Linked DNA regions of Drosophila melanogaster. The gene in region 3 interacts genetically with the main gene of each other region. Each region holds a gene or a part of one and is shown on either strand. Other genes may lie near its edges.

The links.
Region 1: of Sec5 (region 3) and Exo84, changing one enhances a phenotype caused by changing the other (phenotypic enhancement), as found in Drosophila melanogaster (one study listed by BioGRID).
Region 2: of Sec5 (region 3) and dnd, changing one enhances a phenotype caused by changing the other (phenotypic enhancement), as found in Drosophila melanogaster (one study listed by BioGRID).

What each region holds. Positions count from the first base shown.
Region 1 is NT_033777.3:26,048,074-26,054,902, forward strand, and holds Exo84 (exocyst 84), read right to left. Parts: upstream 4,185-6,829; 5' UTR 4,157-4,184; coding exon 4,117-4,156; intron 4,057-4,116; coding exon 3,898-4,056; intron 3,845-3,897; coding exon 3,514-3,844; intron 3,460-3,513; coding exon 2,687-3,459; intron 2,628-2,686; coding exon 2,098-2,627; intron 2,043-2,097; coding exon 1,857-2,042; 3' UTR 1,658-1,856; downstream 1-1,657. Other genes in the region: gro (groucho), read left to right, coding at 1-96, 163-362, 425-532; Vps2 (vacuolar protein sorting 2), read left to right, coding at 4,844-5,156, 5,217-5,674; Cmpk (Cytidine/uridine monophosphate kinase 1), read right to left, coding at 6,502-6,829.
Region 2 is NT_033777.3:21,884,279-21,890,418, forward strand, and holds dnd (dead end), read right to left. Parts: upstream 3,078-6,140; 5' UTR 2,865-3,077; coding exon 2,862-2,864; exon of another isoform or gene 2,751-2,861; intron 2,139-2,750; coding exon 2,010-2,138; intron 1,947-2,009; coding exon 1,815-1,946; intron 1,757-1,814; coding exon 1,481-1,756; 3' UTR 1,398-1,480; downstream 1-1,397. Other genes in the region: fit (female-specific independent of transformer), read right to left, coding at 1-153; CG17819 (uncharacterized protein), read right to left, coding at 520-567, 625-861, 920-1,054, 1,117-1,257; CG6678 (uncharacterized protein), read left to right, coding at 3,229-3,313, 3,757-4,276, 4,425-4,500, 4,561-4,989; CG43844 (uncharacterized protein), read left to right, coding at 5,340-5,636.
Region 3 is NT_033779.5:3,455,506-3,463,114, reverse strand, and holds Sec5 (secretory 5), read right to left. Parts: upstream 5,814-7,609; 5' UTR 5,710-5,813; coding exon 5,601-5,709; intron 5,531-5,600; coding exon 4,916-5,530; intron 4,862-4,915; coding exon 3,040-4,861; intron 2,983-3,039; coding exon 2,844-2,982; 3' UTR 2,748-2,843; downstream 1-2,747. Other genes in the region: CG3246 (uncharacterized protein), read left to right, coding at 1,264-1,345, 1,409-1,677, 1,735-2,721; Cog3 (component of oligomeric golgi complex 3), read left to right, coding at 6,080-6,244, 6,301-6,813, 6,871-7,358, 7,412-7,551. UniProt on the Drosophila melanogaster protein: Component of the exocyst complex involved in the docking of exocytic vesicles with fusion sites on the plasma membrane.

The DNA.
Region 1 (6,829 bases), on a different chromosome or scaffold from region 3:
ACAACACGGTGCGCTCCTGGGATCTGCGCGAGGGTCGCCAGCTGCAACAGCACGACTTCAGCTCTCAAATATTCTCGCTCGGCTACTGTCCCACAGGTATGATGACGACTTCCTTACGAGATATAATCATCTAGAAATAACATAATTTGTATTATCCATTAGGCGACTGGCTGGCTGTGGGTATGGAGAACTCGCATGTGGAGGTGCTGCACGCATCGAAACCGGACAAGTATCAACTGCATCTGCACGAGAGCTGCGTTCTGTCGCTGCGCTTTGCCGCCTGCGGCAAATGGTTCGTTTCCACCGGCAAAGACAACCTGCTTAACGCATGGCGAACACCTTACGGTGCCAGCATATTCCAGGTAAGCACACATCCTTATCATATTAAAGGAAATCCTCAATTAAAATACTGGACGTTTTTCAGTCGAAGGAAACATCATCCGTACTTAGCTGCGACATATCAACTGACGACAAATACATTGTGACGGGTTCGGGCGATAAGAAGGCTACTGTCTACGAAGTTATTTATTAAATCCACAAAACCATGCAGTTTTTTCATTTTGTAATAAGCTCGTATAGTTTTTATTACAACATGTTCGAAATCATGCAAATAACAACAACAAAAACAACAGCAGCAGCATCGGCAGTAAAACAAAAAAAGAAAAGCAGAAAGGCGGCAGTAGCAACGCATCAAAAAGCGAAGCAAAAATGAAAATTCTATAATATATATACAAGAAAAAGGAAAACTAAAATTTTAAGCGTACTTGTAGCTACTAAGCCTAAGCTAAGTCCAATAAATAAAAACAAACCAACAAGTTGAACACACAAATTGCAAGTAAAGAAGAATTCAAGTAAAATGAGAACCAGAGCGAAATAAAATGATAATGCATGCGAGCAACAGAAACGAGTATGTTGTAAAATTAACAAAATGAAACCGGAAACAGAAACATAAAAAGTCGGCGATACCTACCTACGTTCATCTTAACATAAAAACAAATAGGAGGATAAGTGGAATTAGTCAGTCATTGCAATTGCAGGAGCGTTGAGATTATGATTACCAGCTGAACAAAAGGAGTTAAATACAAATACGATGCGAGTGCTTTTAGTTTGTTTTATGTGAGCGGTTTTTGTAATTTAGCTGAAAAGTCAGACAGCGAATGCAACAACAAATGTAATTTTAAGTTGTCAGTTTCCTTACCTCCCAACGTCCCTCCAAACACACACCACACACACACAAACACAACATACGAAAAACACAAAACACATTTGCATAAAAGGTATATATATATATATATATATATAATTATAAATGAATATACTTAGTAAGCATTTTAGTTAAGAGTTTTACATTATAAATTAAACACGGAAACCACTTTCGAAACACTCACTCGCATTGGGGGTCAGTAGTTAGAAGCTCAGAGCAGTCCGCTTTGCTTGTATGTAATTTGAGAAAATGTGTAATGAGAAAATCGAGGAATTAATTGTGTGAATCAAACTCAACTCTTCAGAACCAAGTGTAAAATCCTATATTTTGAGCAGCTAAACCCAACACAGAGAGAGCCGCATCAACAACCGAAACCGAAAAGTAGAACACAGCTAAATTGTTTAGTGTTTAGAGTATATATATGAAAAACAGAAAACGAATCGATTTATATATATTTACAATTATATATATAATGCGAGCGGCGAAATTGTAATAAGCAAGAGATAGAGTGCAGCACACGCTTCGATTTTTAATTTTACAAATATTATTATTATTGTGGTTATATATGTATATAATTATATTATAAATAATTGAAGCAAAACGAAAAAATAAAAAATTATATGTAATCGAAAGTAAATCCCACGGCGTGCATCTAAAACACATCTGTGGTGTAGACGCTGCGCTGGCGCGGCACTGGAGCACCTTGCTGGCGGGACATTTTCGTGTGCAACTCGCGCAATCCCTCGCACTGGCGTCCAGAAATCTGTCGAAACTTGTCGATGGCGATGGGCAGCAGGTTGTCCACCAGAAAAATCTTGTTCTTCATTACAAAGTTGGGCTGAAAATGGCATTCTTGAAGAGAGCGGTTTTATTTAAGCTGCTTTCTAACTTACATCCACGGCCATGTCGCTGGGCGGTTTCAACGAATGCTGGGCAATGAACAGCTCCTTAAGAAGCAGTTCCAGGCTCTGCAGCAGGGTTTCGCACTTGGCCAGACAGCCGCAGTACTCGGTGAGCTGCAGGAAGTGTCTGATGAAAACCACTGTCGACTGGGTGAGATTAATCCATGTGTCGCCCGTCGCCTGGGCTCGCACATCGATACCCAAGACATCGAGCTCCAGGAGCAGACGCTTCAGGTTCGACTTGGTCTGCAAATTGTACGGCTGCCAGCTCTCCTCGGTGCGACCCACGGAGTCCAGCAGTCGCTCCTTGGATTCCTCTATGAGCGACTCGAGTGTAGTGCGCAACAGACCTTCCAAATGATAACTAATGTCCAGCCCGATCTCTGTGAGCTTTGTCGAGGGCTTGCGCACTCGCTCCACACATTTGGCCACTGACTCCAGGGAGGTTCCCTTGGTCAGGTAATGCTTTATCAGTTGGCTGGCAAAATATTGCAGCTCCGCATTGCACCAAACCACGAGCGCTGCAAGAATTAGATAGTAGTAATACTTAAATGTAGACAGAAATAGGAATGAAGCTTACCGCTAACGCACGCCGGTTGCTTCTCAAAGGCGGTGAGAAAATCACAGGCCACCTGCGTCAGGTCACAAAAGAAGAGTTCCGATATATCCGCATTATTCCTGCGCGCCTCCCGTTGCGCCACCCGCAAACTGACGGCGCAGACCTTCAGCAGAGTGGCACTCGCCTGCCGATAGCGACCCATCTCTACGAGAATCTTCAGAGGCCGCTTGGCTGCTCTCAGAGCGATCTGCAGATTGCGATTGTGACTGTTGGACAACTCCTTGAGCAGCACATTGATCAGCTTCAGCTCCTGCTGCTTCACCTTGGTTTCAATGGCGTCCGCTAGTGGCAACTTCTTTCGGTTCTCGTTTCGCAAGAAGTCCTGGGTTCGCTTTATCAGCTCCTGGGCATCCTCGAAATGCCGTTGGGCCACCAGGGTCTGAATCTCTTCACTGGCCGTGCTTAGCCACTCGGGCGTCTCATCCTCCAGGGATTTGGGCTGTCCGGGACTCTGGGGTGTGGTTTCCTTCTCCGGAGTCGAAGCTTTTGACTGCTGTTTGGCCCGAGTTGGAGGCTGTGGCGCCTGGCCCTTTTTTGGTTTCTTTTGCTGGTCAAAGCGGAAGGCCTCTTCGAGCTTCTCTATCCACTCCGTCTTCCCAGCAGCCGTGATGCTTTGATAGATCTTGGAACCATCTGGAGTAATGATATTAATGGCATTCTTAACGCCATCCAAGTCCTTAATGTTAATCACGGCTATTTTCTTGGGGTCGTACTCGGTGAGGAAATCCAAGCGCCTGAAAAATATTACTATTAGTTTTTGCTATATGCTTTAGTATAGGAAAACCTACTTATCATGCTTCACTTTGCAGACAATCAGTACATCGTTGAAGAGGAAAAAGAAGACCCTTTGAATGGGTCGATAATCATTACTGTCCAACTCGATTAGAGCTCCCTCGTTGAGGAAGGTCTTGCCTTCCAGATTGCCATTGAAGCCCTGGACCATTTCCTTGACCGCCCGCGTGGCATGGCTATTCTCCAGATCCTCCGTCGCCGTAGTGCTCTCCGCCTCCAAACTCTCTGCCTTCAGGTGACTGGAAGTCTTGCCATCCGTCATGGTGGCCAGAATATTGCGCTGCTCAATCAGAATGTGCGACAGTTGATACATTTCCGACTCGAGATCTGCGATGCGAAAATATTAACATAAATGTATATTGATATTGGGGGGCGTAAACTACGTGATATCTCCTTGGCCGTCTGTATAAACTCCATATAGTTCTTTTTGCATGTTTGCTTGAGCGTTGCTGCCGTCGTTTCGTTGTAGGCCTCGATTTCCTTTTTTCGCTGCTGCAAATCGCTGCCACCCACACATTCTCGTGTCAGGTCCTTGGTATCTGGGAACGTTGTACTTATTAGTAGACTGATTAATGCTAAATAGACATAGGAATACTTACATTTCTCAACGCTAAAATTAAAATCGTCGAACTCCTTCATGATTCTGATTGGAATGTAAACTGCAGCTGACGCAGAGCCATTCACAACGAACGAGCGTCATCATGAGGTGTCGATTGTAAGGTTGCTGATGCTATAGAAAATGCCATGTTTTCACTGCAGTTTTCCCTGGTATTAGATAAATCTATAAATCTAGAACATTTTTATTTAGTTTTAAGTAATAGGAGATTAATTAAGATTTAAAACCTATGAAAAGTTTTATTCGAACTGAACGGCTACGTCAAAGACCTTTTAGAGATCAACAAATTTATTCGCATTTACATTTCGGATTTTCATCTTAGGTATGATTAGGCGTTGAAGCCCTGAATACTTTTTATTCGAACTGAACTTTTAAATATAAACGACTACGTCAAAGATCTACGTTAAAAATCAAGAAGACATATGTCTATATGTATACTATTCATTACAATGTGTGTGTGTTGTATTGTAATAAATTAAAATTATTTTCCACCTGTTGCTAATTCACTAAGTTGAAGTGTGAACAGTTCTTTCAGAGTGCACCGGCAAAGCTTCTTCTTCCCACTAGCACTATTCGCATGTAAGCGCCAACACGTCTTGGCCACCTTAGAATCGCGCACACCCTTCGCTTATTGTTTTGGTTGATGAGTAATCTTTAGGAAACTCCGTCATTCTTCGTAATTAAATCTTGCAGTTAAGATATCCTTAAACATGGACTGGCTATTCGGCAAGAAGATCAGCCCCGATGAGATGCTGCGTAAGAATCAGCGGGCGCTCAACAAAGCGATGCGAGATCTGGACCGCGAGCGGATGAAAATGGAGCAGCAGGAGAAGAAGATTATCGCGGATATCAAGAAGATGGCCAAGGAGGGTCAAATGGATGCCGTGAAGATCATGGCCAAGGATCTGGTGCGCACGCGGCGGTATGCCAAGAAGTTCATGCTGATGAAGGCAAACATCCAGGCGGTGTCCCTCAAAATTCAGACGCTCAAGTCGCAGAACACAATGGCACAGGCCATGAAAGGTAAACATTGGCTATTTGGCTGATTCACCCGCTTATCAAGCAATTATGCTTATCTTCCAGGTGTCACGAAGGCCATGCAGAACATGAACCGCCAGCTGAATCTCCCGCAAATCCAGAAGATCCTGCAGGACTTCGAGAAACAGTCGGAAATGATGGACATGAAGGAGGAGATGATCAACGATGCCATCGATGACGCCATGGAGGACGAGGGCGACGAGGAGGAGACGGATGCTGTTGTGTCCCAGGTGCTGGACGAACTGGGTCTGCAATTGGGCGAACAGCTGGGAGACCTTCCTTCCGCCTCCGGTTCCCTTTCCATAGCCGGCGGCGCTGGCGCTCAGAAAGCACAGGCTGTGGCCGCTGGTGGCGTTGGCGGCGGTGGAGCCGCCGGCGGAGGTGGAGCTAGTGGTGGCGGCGCTGGTGGTCCGGGAGCTCCCGGTGGCAGTGGTGCCTCATCGCCCATGTCCGATGCCGATGCGGATCTTCAGGCGCGCCTGGATAAGCTGCGCAAGGATTGAGCCGCTACTAAGAACCACTGCCTGTCCACTTTATGTAAGAGCCACCACCCGTTTGTATCTCCCAGAAGCGAATGTTATATTAAAGAGAATGCTTGTGATTTTCGTTCCCTGCGTGTTTGAAAAATCGATGAGTAATTAGCATTTACAAGCTATAATGGAAAGAACTGGGTAGTGCTGCAATCGCACAGCCTAGCTACAAACAAATTCGCAATACTTGTTACTTTAGAGCTATACAATATTCGGTATTTTAAAAGATATGTACGTTTCATGCCTGTCTTCAATAAAATAAGAAAAAGGAATTTCCAAATCATGAAATTATATATATATGTATATACATATATTCAGCTTTAACTATAAATGCAAAATTGTGTTTATCTGAATAAAAAGAAGTACTTTCCTAAATTTGTACTATTGGGTACTATAGAAATATGTAAAACACTTGAAAAATGAAAATCACATAGCACTTGTATAAATAAGAAAACTTGTTTTAAATGTCATAATATGAACAGGGGATTTAATTTATTGTTTATTGCTCTTTAACGTTCCTACATTTAAAATAGTTCTCAATCCATTTGCTTTAGATAACATATAATTCCAGAATAACTTTTGCCTAGCTCCATTTTTTACTCGATATTAAAAAGTGTGTGTGTACCTCCGCTTTCCTTGATTGGGTATACTAAACTTCATGTGTATCTTGTATCTTATCGGGGTGAAGAAAAAGTACCTTATGCATTACTATTAACAAGCGTATATATGTATTTTTTTAGAGGGTACAAATGAAAGGTAAGGATAGCACTACACACATAACCGGAATATGAACAGGAAATCTAGAAGCCGCTGGCCACAAATATCTTTTCCACCTCCCCGAACACCTCTTCCGCATCCGGACTGGCATCGATCCGTTTCACCTGGCCGGCGCCCTCGAAGAACTTGATGATGGGCAGCGAGTCGTTGTTGTATGTCGAGATGCGCTTCTTCAGGCTGTCCAGGTTGTCGTCCGTCCGGCCAGAGCCGCTCTGGCCGCGGCCCAGACACCGTTTGACGCACACATCCTCGCCGCAGTCGAAGAAGAGGACAAACTGGAAGTCCACCTTCTCGGACATCTGGCGGTTCCAACCGTCCAGATTATCCTGATTGCGTGGGAAGCCGTCGATG
Region 2 (6,140 bases), on a different chromosome or scaffold from region 3:
GTGACCCACATCACAGGGCCAGTTGACAGAGTGCGGATGCGGGTGGCTTAGACTTGGACCTTGGGACGAGTTGTCCTCCTCAGACCAACGAATATTCCTGGCCTGCACCAAAGCCAGAGCCGAAAGAAGTAGAATCACCAGAGTTGAGTTCATTTCAACGATCGCTGTTAAACTGTGCCAGTCAATTCTATAACTAACCCTTTTATAGCCCCAAAAGCAACAACAACTAATAACTGATAATGCAAAAGGGCTTTGTCCTCACAATGTTGCTACTCAGCCACGAGTTTTTCAATTATTGACAGAGGTCAATGTCAAAAATCATTGATTAGCAAATGGCTGTATTAATGTATTAATTAAAAGAGTGTTTGCCGATCAGCAAACTAAATGAATCATTATTTGAGGCAAATAATTTCTATAATACAAGTGTAACAAACTATTGTTGCTAAATTACATTAAATATATATTTAATATATTAGTTAATAGGTTGCCAAATTTTTGAAAATATAAAAATGTGATAAATCACTTCCTGTTATTGTTGATCTTTTCGTTAATCCAATTTACGATCTCCTACCCAGATAGTATAAGTTAAATTATCAGATTTCGAATATAGAACACAACATATACCTGAACACCAGACCCTGTCCGCATGGAACATTCCTCAAAAGTCCAATCTCGACCAGTTAGGCGATATAGGCCCATCAAATCGATAACCGTGGACATGGACAGGGATCCCGAGGCGTCCTTCTTGTTGGACACGATCAGCAGCGGAGCATTATCCAGTTCCTGGTGCATCAAAACATCGCATAAAACACATCGCGCCTCGCTTAGCCGCAGTGCATCCGTGCTATCCAGTACAAAAATCTACGGTTCAGGGATTGTAGTCGAGTCTATATAAGTTCTATATAAGTTCTCCTCTCACCAAAACATTCACTTTCTTATAATACTTTGGCCAGATCTGGCGATTCTTCAGTTCTCCGTTAATATCCCACAACTGGACTCTGAAATTATTTATGGTGAAGCTCCATTCACTAACTTGATTGTTAGATTCCTTGGACTGCAAATAGTTTATGCTAACATTATCAAATGGAGATAGGACCATCACATATATGGCCTTACTTCTCCATTGAAAATTTCCGCCAGGCGGTCTGTCAACGTGGATTTTCCCGCATTGTCTAATCCTAAAATGAGCAGACATGATTTCTGAGAGCCTGCGGGCAGGATCTTTTTTATGAACGAAACAGGTCCGTAAAAACACATGGGGATCGAAATTTGATTTCAGTTTAGATGTCAGGTAAAAATGAATGATTTAACTAGCATAGCCTTCTCAACTATATATTCAGTTTATACTTAAAGATACACGTGAAAAAAGGAAGATTCATCCAACAATTAGAGATTGTGATACTTTTGGTGAGTTGAAATGTAGGTACGTATATTTAGTTCTTAGGGACAACTTAACAGGCGACGATTACTATAATTTAGATTACTTCTTCATATTCTTGCAGACCCAGTCCATTCCCTCCTTTAGTCCAGTGCCATCCACAGCGGTACAGGCCTTGATCTCCCAGGTTCGTCCCTGCAGTTGCACCAAGCTCATCTTCTCGGCCACCTCGGCGGCACTCATGGCATCCGGCATATCCTGTTTGTTAGCGAAAATCAGCACGGGAACTTGCTTCAACCGATTGTCCATGAGCATTTCGAATAGTTCACTACCCGCCTCGGGCAGGCGAGTCCGATCTGTACAGTCAATTACATAGATCTGAAATAATCGAAACTATTAGCTAACAGAATTGAGTTTAGATCTATAACAATCCTACCAGCACATCAGTATTCGCAAAATAGTTCTTCCAATATGGACGTATCTTCCATTGACCACCAATATCCCATACATTCAGTTTGAAACCATCGGCTGCCACGGACTTGATGTTAAATCCTGCCGTGGGCGTTACCTGCGGGATTTCACTCCGTATTTTATGGGGAAAACGGAAGAAGTTCGCCGCCTTTATACGCACCGTGGTTATGTCCTCCGATGCCAGCTGCTTCAGTATCGTGGTCTTGCCAGCATTATCCAATCCTAGGAGCAGGATGCGAGCCTCCTTTTCCGGATTGGGTCTCAGTTTACGCAACAGCGATAGCAGACCCTAAAATTTGTAAGCTATTAAGTTGTTGTTTTTTCTACTTAGTTTTTTGAAGGTGTGTTATTCTAGCACCTGATTACCAGTATTAGTCTAGACTCGGTAGTATCCTCTGGTCTATCTTTGAAATTTTGAATAACAATCTACATTTGGTAGTTTATAAACTTGTAAAATTGTTAATAAATATATGTGTTTTTATAAATGCAACATATGCTTGTAAACACACATGTTTTGTTATTATCAATGTTGTTATCAATAAAGACGATGTAAAGTTGTAAAAAAAAAACTTGCAATTAAAACGTTCTCTTAGTGATAGAATGCAAAAAGCTTATCAACAGGTGAACTTTACAAACATATTGTTGGAATTGAGATAAGGGCTCGCCAAAAGAAACGACAACAAGGTTGAATGAAATAAAAATGTTTATTGGTAAAAAAATTTGCCATGTTCACTTAAAAATTAAGAACTCTTTTTTCCATTGTGTGCTACAAAAAGCTTATTATGTTTCTTTGTTTTCCGAACCACCAATTTGGTTTTTTTTTTCGAATACCGATAATTACGCGCCTAAAACTTTCGAAGTAGTGCTGAAAAAAGTTCTGCTCTAACAAAAAAGTGTTGTATAGTTTTTGAGGCGGGTTTCCATGGCGACGATCGCAAAATGAAAACAAATCGTGCAATTACGGAACAACAAGGCACTTAATTAGCTGTTACGGAACCGGGAGACAACCTACCATCGTATAATTAACGCGAGAATAACAGCCAGGAGGCGGTGCGATCTCCGACCACTATATCCGTATCTGTATCCCCCCGATTCGGCAATCTGCTCTGGCCGCCCAAGACGGTGTCTTCTGGTGGTCAACTCAGGAAAAGTCGGATAACTTGAGAATTGGATCAACTTCAACCACCAAACACAACATCACTGGCTCGTCGCTGCACAACTACTGAAAACAAAATTCGCTCAACGCTCTAACAAATTCCGACAGCAACAACAACAGCGCCAACGGTCGCCGAGCAACCGCTGCAAAGGATTGTTAGACGGGGGACGTGGTGGGGGTGCGGGTCGAGCGGTATTCGAATTGGAACGGGAACGGGAAGAAGATGCCGCTGCTATTTACGGGCTTCAACGCATTTGGCCAGCATGAATGTGTAAGCGGCGACGTCGACTGCGCAGCCGGCTTCAGCGGTTTGTAACCGGCAACAAAAGCCGCCGATCACTTAGTTGCTACAGTAGGCACTCGCTATAGAACTCGCTGGGATGCATGCAGCTTATACCATTTTTACAATTCTAATTCTATCTTATAAAACTGAATCCGATTTAAGCCAGATGAATTTTTAAGATTTCATGTTTAAAATAGAGTATAGTGATTTTCAGGTGAATATATACGTAGGACATTAATCCATAAAATTCTTTGCATATTCATATTCATGCATTGGATATAGACTGCATTTTAATTGACAGTTATAGGGTAAATTACACATCGGTACTTGGTGCCAACTGCATTTTTTGATTGGCCAAATACATACATAGCAATGAAATTGATAAACTAATAACTTAGACAAAATCTTTTTAGGGGGCTTCCACCGTATGTATGTATGTGTACTAATTCAGTTCTGCCTTTATTACAGAATTAAATGCGCCAGTCTCGACTCAGAACCAGTGCACGATTTCGATCGGCTGGCGGTATGCGGCCCTCGCTTTTGGCCGGAAGTTGTGCCTGCGTGGGCTCTTGGATGATGGCCCAAATGAGTGCGTGACCCTGGAAGCAACGGGGAACATAAGGGCCCTTGCCGCTGCCGATTCCCACTGCCTGGTGCTACTCCAAAGCGGTCAGCTTTACAGGGTGCAACCAAAACTGCAAGCGGAACTGGTGGCTGTTAGACTAGAAGCTGCTCCCAGATCCAATTCGGGTACAAAGCGCTCTATCTTTGGGGCTGCCAAGGCGCCTTCGTCGCCGATCATAGAGCATATTGCATGTGGATCGCACATAAACGTAGCGATAAGTTCGGAAAACTGTGTCTACAGCATTCCCAGCTGCCTGCATCAGTTTTCCGAGCGCCAATTTCGGGTGAAGCAGCTCCAATGCGGCCATGAACATGCCGTGCTCCTCAATGCCAATGGCGACGTGTTCACCTGGGGAAATGGACTGTAAGTAAAGGTCATAATGAATGCGTTGGCTGTGCAGAAATGCAGCCTATAAATATTTACATATTCTGGTTTTAAGATATTTAGATATTAGCGAGTTTCTTATTCTAATTCCTAACAATTTTTTTCACTTCTATGTCATAATTAACAGACGCGGACAGTTGGGTCTGGCGGAACTGAGAGTGGAGGAGACGCCTCAATTGCTGGAGGCGCTGGCGGGGATCAAGGTATATATATATTTGACTTGTCCACTTATCTTGTCTGTCACACATTCAAGTGCCTTGCAGATAACTCAAATTGCTGCCGGTGGTTGGCACAGTGCGGCCATATCCGCCTTTGGAGACCTCTACACCTGGGGCCTCAACTGCAGCGGTCAGCTGGGATTGCGTGTGATGAAACCCGGTGGCGTCCTCAAAGAGCCCACTGTATTTCCGCTGCCCCAGTTGCAAGATCTGCCCGAATGTGCCTGCTCCCAAAGCGGGGAGAGCAACGATGATTGCGCACCGCTGAGGGTGTTTGCTGGATCTCGTCACACTCTGCTGATCCGCCGATGCGGGCGGCTATGGGTCAGTGGTTGGTGCAAGCACGGTCAACTTGGCAGGCAGCTCCAAGACCTGTCCTATGTGGATGCTTTTCAGGCCCTGGAAGGTATCACGATGAACCCTACTGTGGATGATGTTCTCTGTGGGCCATGGTCAACGCTGCTCCATTTGAAGGTAACGTTGGATTGAAGACACATACATATGTACCTTTTAAAATGGCTTCACTATTAAATCTACTGAATTGAACACAGCTTGGACACAAACCAATTTACATGTCAACTTGGTTGCCTTCATGTAAAATGTATTGCCACACATTTTACTTGACTTTTATCTACTTTGTATATATGTACAAAATACGTTGTATGATGAGTAATTTAACATTTGTATTATATTGCATATATTACCAACTTATGTAGATAAGTAGGCATTGGAATAAGTGTTTCCCCACTATTTTAGTACTTTTAAATTACCAAAGACAGGCTGGATGAGCGGATTGCCCTTGAGCATGGCGTAAGTTAAGAAGTATGCAGGATCAGAGTCGTTGGCCTGTAAGAAACTTCCTCATTCCCAGTCCCAGTATATTCTTTATTCTAATATGGCGTATCACCGTGCAAATGATGTATCCATACGGATACATGGACTGTTCGCTGCAGGACGCGTTGGATAATGAGTATCTGGTATGGAACAAGGGCGATCACCGGGAAAATCAAATGATGCTGATAAGGGAAACCGTTCAAACCACACTCCTGCTCGTGCTAATGATAGAGGTGATGCTGACGTTCAATATTCCGATTCCGATGGTCATAGGCGCCGGAATATAGTCTCGGCTCTGAACTCTGTTCCCGCCTTATTGCTATAGAAGCTCTATAGCTACAGTCCGTTTATTGTCCCATTAAAACAAGAGTGCTCAAATAATTTCGTCTTGGGGTAGGACCGCCATTGTGTCAACGTTCGTCGACTTTGTCGTTGTCGTCGCTGCACATTTAATCAGTAAATTTTATTTTTAAAAATGGTATTAAACAATATTTGCCATAGCAAAAGTCCGACGCTCGCAGTGCAATAAACTTTTCAGCACTTGAGCCGTTCGCCTGACTAAATGACTGATTGACTGACCGACTGATTGACTGACTGACTGACTGACCGACTGATTGGTTGGAATTTCTTTTCTTTGTTTTAACTTTAACTCGGCGCGATTATTTCGATTTCGTGGAAGTGCGTTACTTGCAAAGGTTTTGATAGGAATTTTATGCGTCATATACGGGATATATTCGATACGATAACAGTTCAATTGATTCGACTGGGAAATGCTCATTTCGATTGCTTAT
Region 3 (7,609 bases):
ATCATACCCGTTATTCGTAGAGTAAAAGGGTATACTAGATGTGTTTCCGACCATGTAAAGTATATATATTCTTGATCAGGATCAATAGTCGAGTCGATCTGGCCCTGTCCGTATGAATGTCTCGATCTCAGGAACTATAAAAGCTAGAAGGTTGAGATTAAGCATATAAATTCTAGAGACATAGATGCAGCGCTTGGTTGTTTACCCATGTTGCCACGCCCACTTACCGCCCAAAACTTCCACGCCCACAATTTTAAATTTTTTCTCATTTTATTTCCCAATATCTCTTGGATATCCCAGAAAAATGATGAAATTTCGCGTTCGTATTTCCACTAGCTGAGTAACGGGTATCTGATAGTCGGGAAATTCGACTTTAGCATTCTCTCTTGTTTTTAACTTGTGGTTTCGTTATGCTATATATTCCCCCACTCAAACAACTTCCACTCAAATCAACTCCCAAATATCTTTTAGGAGCATTCTACAATCTGATTTTTGTAATCATCCAGCAAACGTTTCCAAAACTCAATTTTTTTTTAATACGTATTAAGCCAAAAGTCGTATACATAACTATTTAAAGCAATTCTGCAGCTGCAGCAAAGATAATCTATTTAAGAGTAAAGCATTAGTCAAAACTAAAGATTATTTTCGTTCAACGAACAGCGAATTATAGATTGCTTTGCCCAAAATGTGGATGCTGTGAGCTAAAAAAAACCTTTTTTTTTAATAGGCTAAGACATTTTTTTGAATAGGCTAAGACTTTTTTTGAGCATGAATTTTTTTGAGCACGTGAACCTAGGATTAAGAACAACAATTCAAGTAAGCCATATATACCCATATTATATATGCGAACATATAACTATTAAAATATTCAAATAAAAATGAGCATTGCTACTACAGAAAAATGCGCGATTTTCTTTGGGTTTCAAAACCGTTTTCGAACCGTAACACTCTTTGCCTCATGCAAGCTGCTAGTTCATGATTTCTAGAACATCGTTCCTGGGAGTGGAGTGAGTTCCATGAGTGCCTACAATGTGCTGGCCGCTTCCGCTCACTTAAGTCACTCAATCTCAATTCCGAGTTTAATCAGCAGCTCCGCGAGCAGAGTCGCCCTTAGATAAGCGGATCGCCGCCTGCGGCTCATCATTATCTTTTGATTAACGCGCCAGTCGACAGTGCGTGTTTGTTCCGAGTAGAGAACGGAGGCTGGCGCGTTTTCTTCCATTTTCCAACTGATAAGCAGAAGCTCCAGCTAATCCCCGAAAGATGAAGCCGTTGATAGTGGTCGTGCTCGTGGGCCTGATGGCAAGTGGCTGCCACATTGTTCACTCCCAGGAGCCTGGCGATGGTAAGACGAATTCCAGTCTGAGCTCTACCGGAACTAAGCCACTCATTAATGACCTTTGAGCAGCTGTGGAGCAGGAAGCCAGCGAGTCGGATGACGCACTTAAGATCAAAGAGAGTCAGGCCAGCATAGCCGCCCAGGTGGAGGCCATGCTCGTGCACTTTCAGCAGGAGGATCCGCAGGGTCTGCCCGGCGTGCCCGTGCCCGATCCGTTGGAGGTGCCCAATGTGAAGAAGAGCATGGGCATGGCCAATCTGGACATGAAGCAGGTCAAGGCGTATGGCTTGTCCAAGTTCCGCATTGATAAAATGAACCTAGACCTGAAGGAAATGAGAGTAAGTTTTCAAGTTGAATTCGAATTGGCTTGAAGTTTCCACTCCTCTGTCCTGCAGTTCAACGGTGGCCTCCAGCTGGACCAGATGCTGGTCAAGGGCCAGTACACCCTCAGTTCATTCTTTTCGAAAGCCAATGGACCCTTTACAGTAGTCCTGAAGAATGTCTATGCCGAGGCAACCGCCTTCTTGGCCGTCGAACGAGACGGTCAGCTGGCCACGGACCGCATCAAGATCGACATCACATTCTCGGACATGACAATGGACTTCCAGAACCTCGGCCTGGTGGGCAGTGTCTTTCAGAGCGTGGTGAACGGTGCGCCCAACTTGGTCTTCGACGCCATGAAGCCATTTATGCTCCAGGAGGCGGACAAAAAGCTGCGCAGCGAGATCAACGTAATGATCCAGAAAACCTTGGGCGAACGCCGACTGCCCAATTCCATAACGCCGCTGGACAGCGCCATTGCCATGGCACGCAAGATGGTTCGGCAGAAGGGCTTCGATCCGTACCACCTGCCTGATGTCAATCGCACCATGGGCGTGTTCAGTGTCCAGTTAGCACACACCTGGATCAATGGAATCTCTAGCTTCTACCGCGTGGGCAACATAACCGCTGGCATGGCCAACAAAACGGTGTCGGTCGTTCTGCAAATAGGCACCCAGCAGGTGACGGGAGCCGGCCAGTGGGAGGTGGGTGTGGGCATGATGACACGCGTCGGTCACGTACAATTTACGGTTCAGCACATACGCGCCACCGTTGGCCTGAGCCAATCCCTGGACACACGCAAGCGGGCGCAGATCACCGATCTGCAGTTTGACATGGGCAACATACAGGTGCGATGTGACGGAGCGGGAACGCTGGACTACGTCATGGAGTTTGCGGTGAACGTCATTCCCAACCTGCTGCGCTACCAGATCATGGACGCCATCGAGAACCCCATCAAGCAGCGTGTGCAGGAGAAGTTCAACACCATCGATGTGGAGCAGGTCATCAAGACCATGGCTCAGAACAACTTCAACTTTGACCCAAAGCTGTTGGGCTTGTGAGTCGTGGTAGTAAGTAAGAGAGTTATGCAATCGAATAAAGATTTATCCCTAGAACATGGGTAATCACAAGCTACTTAAAGTATACGCTATCTACATGGGCTGCGCCCTGCAGTGGAATGTGCCTAGGGGTCCTTGACACTGAAGCAGAGCAGCTGCAGACGCATGTTCCGCTTGACCCGCTCCAGAATCTCGTCCGCCTTACGCTTCTGCTCGCCACTCAGGGGCGGATTGATGGCCTCCAGCGCTTCCATGAAGTAGTTCCTTTTGCAGATTAGAAGAATTATTGAAATTCATAGGTATTTCATTTAGATCACTCACTTGGCAGTCTCATTGACGTAACCTTCCAGGGAGTCCCTCAATAGACGGATATCCACGTGGGCCTGAATCGCTCCCGTGAAGCTAAAGCGCTGGACACAGCTCATCAGACGGGCCAGCTCTTCGGATATGGTTTGCACAATGGACTCCAGGATGGGTCGCAGCAGTGCCGGTGAAATGCTGTAGATCTCGGAGTAGACACCAACCAAATTATCGCAGCACTCGTGAGCGTAAGGACGCAGCTGGCCGATCTCCATCTCGTGATCCCACTGGAAACGACCCAGATACATGGAGGGCTCGATGGTGCCGACCAGCGGATCGCCCTTATGCTCGACGTACTCCTCCAGAAGATTGGTAAAGAGCTGGTTAACCGTGTAGCGAGCAGTTTCGATTGCCAGCGTGGGCAGCGGGTAACCGTAGCGAACGAAGATGTCACCAAGGCGCGGGAAGAAGATCTTGTTGCAGTACGCATAGTTGGCCAGGCAACAGAGCATGCGCTGCTCCCAGGTCACAGCCGCTGCTCCGCCGCTTCCAGCCACCGAATCTGGCTGCTGGGCATTGGGGAATCCAAGTAGCTGCGACACATTGTGGGTGGGCGTCTCCTCGTCGTGGGAGTGGAAGGCCAGCTCCTCGATCACCGCGCTAAACGCGGATAGGAATTCTTGTAGTCGCTGTGTCACCTCTCTCTGTCCATCCGACTGCGGCTCGAGGAGATTGCCCTCCCGGGTCTCCCTTTGCATGCACACAGATTGCACCTCGTCCAGCGTTTCGATGAGCAATGTTTCCAAGGCGGCGGGTAACAATGTGGCACCTGGATATTCCTCCACGCCCAGTTCCCAGGTCTCCTGGCTGCCCAGCTTTTTGCACCGATCCGTGGCCCGTTTGAAGATAATTGAGAAGCAGAAAAGTCGCACCTCATCGATCAGTTTCTGTATGATGTCCAGCGCTTCCGAGGGCAGATCCAGGCTGATGAGCGTGGCATAGGCTATCCTCGTGAAACGCAGGCACTGCGGAATCCAGGGTAGAAACTGATGTGTTGCCGATGCGGAGCCGATGGGCCAAGCCAAGCCGCTGGACTGACGCAGGGCGCGCTGATCCGTGGCAATGAGAATGGCCAACCTCAAGTAGACACAGAACTTCTCGATGGCGTTCAAAACCATTCGCTTGAAATCCCCTGGCTTGGGATCATGAGGTCCGCGTAGCTCGCCGGTGAAGTATAGCTGGCCCAGACGCCACAAGTCCGGCAGCTGGGAGGCGGCAATGTCGCACAGTTCTTCGCAGAAGTTAACCCGATTGGGCGCCTGGCTGGAATCCCTGTTCTTTGCCTTTTCCTGGGCACCCGAATCCTTGCTGGTGTGCTGATCAAATGTCTGGCGAAATGTCCACTCCAGATATTTGGCTCTGGCCTCGATGGCATCCCAGGCGGGATCGATGTTGCGCAGTTTATCGCCAATGGGAGTTCCGCTCTGCTGCAGTTCCAGACTGATCAGCGCCTTGATGAGCTTCTTCTGTTGCTCCACGCTCTGTGGCATCTTGACCACCTTCTCGTGCAGTTGTTTCCTTATTGACAGAATCCTGTGGTCGACCTCCTCGAGCACCTTGCGGAAAATGGGAATCTCCGTCTTGCCAAAGAGGTTCTTGGCGCGCGAGTAGTCGTTAACCACAATGTCATATTCACCCGCCTTGGCACGTCTGTCCACCGAATTGGGCAGACAGAAGAGGAACTTGTGCCGCGACAGGGCGAACAGAACGGACCGCGTGGAATCCGCCTTCTCTTTGCGCACCAGCACATCCGTGAATATCTTTTGCGATTCGCTAATGGAGTCTATAAGTCGAACAATTTTAGAATTAAATATCTTAATCTATAAACCCCACTCACTCTCTATGGATGTTTCCAAGATATTTAGGGTCTCATTGCCGTGTAGCTTGACATCCTCCTGCAGCTTGTCTCGGATGTTCATCAGCGTATCGAGCTGGTCAATCACCGAGCCTGCATTGGACTTGAGGAAGGACAACTGACCTTCCTTCTGGCTCTCCACTTTCCGCTTCAAGTAGGACAGGCCCGCCTTGAGATCCTCGAAGGAGGTGGCCAGGTGATTTTCAAGCAGGAACCAGGCCGGGGAGAAGTGCTCCTGCGACAGATCCCCGCAGGCTTCGGGAAAGAGATCGCGGAGGTCCTCGGGGATCTTCTGCTCGTTACCCTCGATGGACAGCCCAAGTGGATCCTCCTGCGTCAGTCCGGATTGGGCTAGGGTGCGCCGACCCCAGGCAAAATTCTGCGAGGGCGACTCCTCGATCCACACGGCGGACTCCTTGAGCGGGCCAATGGTCTCGTGGTATGCACGAAACTGAACCGTGGACGTGCCCACTCCGCCGCTTAAAGTGGTCACTATGATATCGCCTTTTCCCTTCGCCGGACCAGTGCGTGCGATGATTTTATTGGGTGATTTCCACTCCGCCGACAGCAGACAATCTGAACCGCAGATTTTTAGACCTTACATTTTTTTTTTTTGGAAGGGAAAGTCATCAGAAAACAGAAGCTATTTGGGACAGGCTACGCCTACCAATTAGATCTTGCACTCGGGTGCCCAGGAACTCGCCGCGAATGATAACGCGGGTGCCAGGAGGACCCTCCTTCGGAGATAGCCCCGTAACCACTGGCTGCGGCGCCATCGTATGCTATATGATGCGGAAAAACTGATCAAAATGCAATAAAAACAATAGAGAACAGAACTTTATTGATGCTGCCAGTGATGGAAAACGTCCCGTCAGTGGTGAAATCTTGGCTAAGTAATCGCCAAGCTAAACAGACAGATATTTAATATAAAACTTATGTAAGAAACGGACGAGCATAAAAAGAGCTTAAAATGTATTAAATCTAAAATTAAAGATTACTTAACATATGATACCATTCAAATAAAGGCAACTTATATCAATCAAGAGTTTTAGTTCTAGCTAAGTCTCCTTGCTGAGCAGCACTGGAAGGCGCAGACCGGTCATCTCTGAACAGCTGATTGATTGTTTCCAAATCCGCCGCAGAAAAATGGATGACGTCGAACGAATTCAGAGCGAGAATGAGAATTTGCGCAAGATTCGCAATCGCCTGATGCAATGGGAGTCCAAAACGGACCCGCTGGCGGCTCTGAGTATCCAGCAAGAGGAGCACCTGGACGTCCTGACCAATCTGTGGCGCGACAGCGGACCATCGGTGAGTCGACTCCTCCTCGAATGGCAATCGTATAATTGCAACCCGACTCTTTGTAGGCACCGGCACCGACTACGCCCACCCAGGTGGGTCCTACCGATTCATCGGCAGCTGCAACTTCGCAAAGCGGCGATGACATCAGACTACCTGCGGAGGGACTCCAGAACACCAATGAGTTTCTGCTTTGGTTCGCGGACGTCAGCGCCGAGATCGAGCAACGTGGCGATGCCGACTACCACAAATACCTGCAGCAGCTGGAGCAGCGCAAAGCGGAGTGCTCCCACATGCTGGACCAGATCGCTGGGGCCATGGAGCGCCTGGGTGCCCTCTGCGACGAGTACGACTTTGTGTCGCAAAAGACCAGCGCTCTGAACACGGCCAGCGAGCAGTTGATCGAGGAGCAGGAGCGACTGCAGGAGCTGAGTCACGAGATTCAACGCCGTCTGCACTACTTCAGCCAGGTGGAGTTGCTCAACCAACGACTTCAGAGCCCCACGCTTTCGGTGGCTAGCGAAGCGTTCCGGGAGTGCCTCAACAAGATCGACGAATGCCTAAACTACATCGAGGAGAATGTGAGCTTGTCTGTTACACTTCGGTCATGTATATACTAATATCCTTCATTGTCACAGCCCAAATTCAAGGATGCGGCCGCCTACAATGTGAAGTACAGGCAGTGCCTGGCCAAAGCCTCGGGTCTGGTGCGTAACTATGTGACGAGTGTGATAAACCAGGCAACCGAGGCCACGCTCCATCCCAAGAACAATATGCCGGATGCCTCCGCTGCTCTCAAGGCACCAGATGCCGCATTCGCTCTGTACTACGGCAAATATCAAACGGCCGCGGCAAAAGTGAAGCGGGTCGCCCAGTTGATTGAGTCCCGGTCGGAACACAGCCTCGACTACGCCCAACTAATGGCGGATCTTCAACAGCACTACTTGGCGCAAAGAGCCAGCGTTATGTCGCCAGCAGTGAATCTGTCCATACAAAACGTTAAGGTGGCCCACAAAGGGGATCACTGCTCTCTCACCCGAAGCGCCTGCGCCTTTTTGGTGCATGTTTGCCAGGACGAACAGCGTTTGTTCTACCAGTTCTTCAGCACAGGAGCGCCACACCTGACGTAATACTCGTACATCTAGTTGGAAAATAGGATTGATCTCATTTTTCCCACAGGGTTTATCTGGAGGGTCTGTGCACCATTCTCTATGACACCATGCGACCCTTTATTATACATATTAATCACTTGGAAACGCTGGCGGAGATCTGCTCCATTCTACGAATTGAAATGCTGGAGGAGCATGTCCAGCAGAATCGTAAGTTTCCAGAATCCTTTTGTAATACGAGAACATTTAATTGAGTTTGTATCAATTA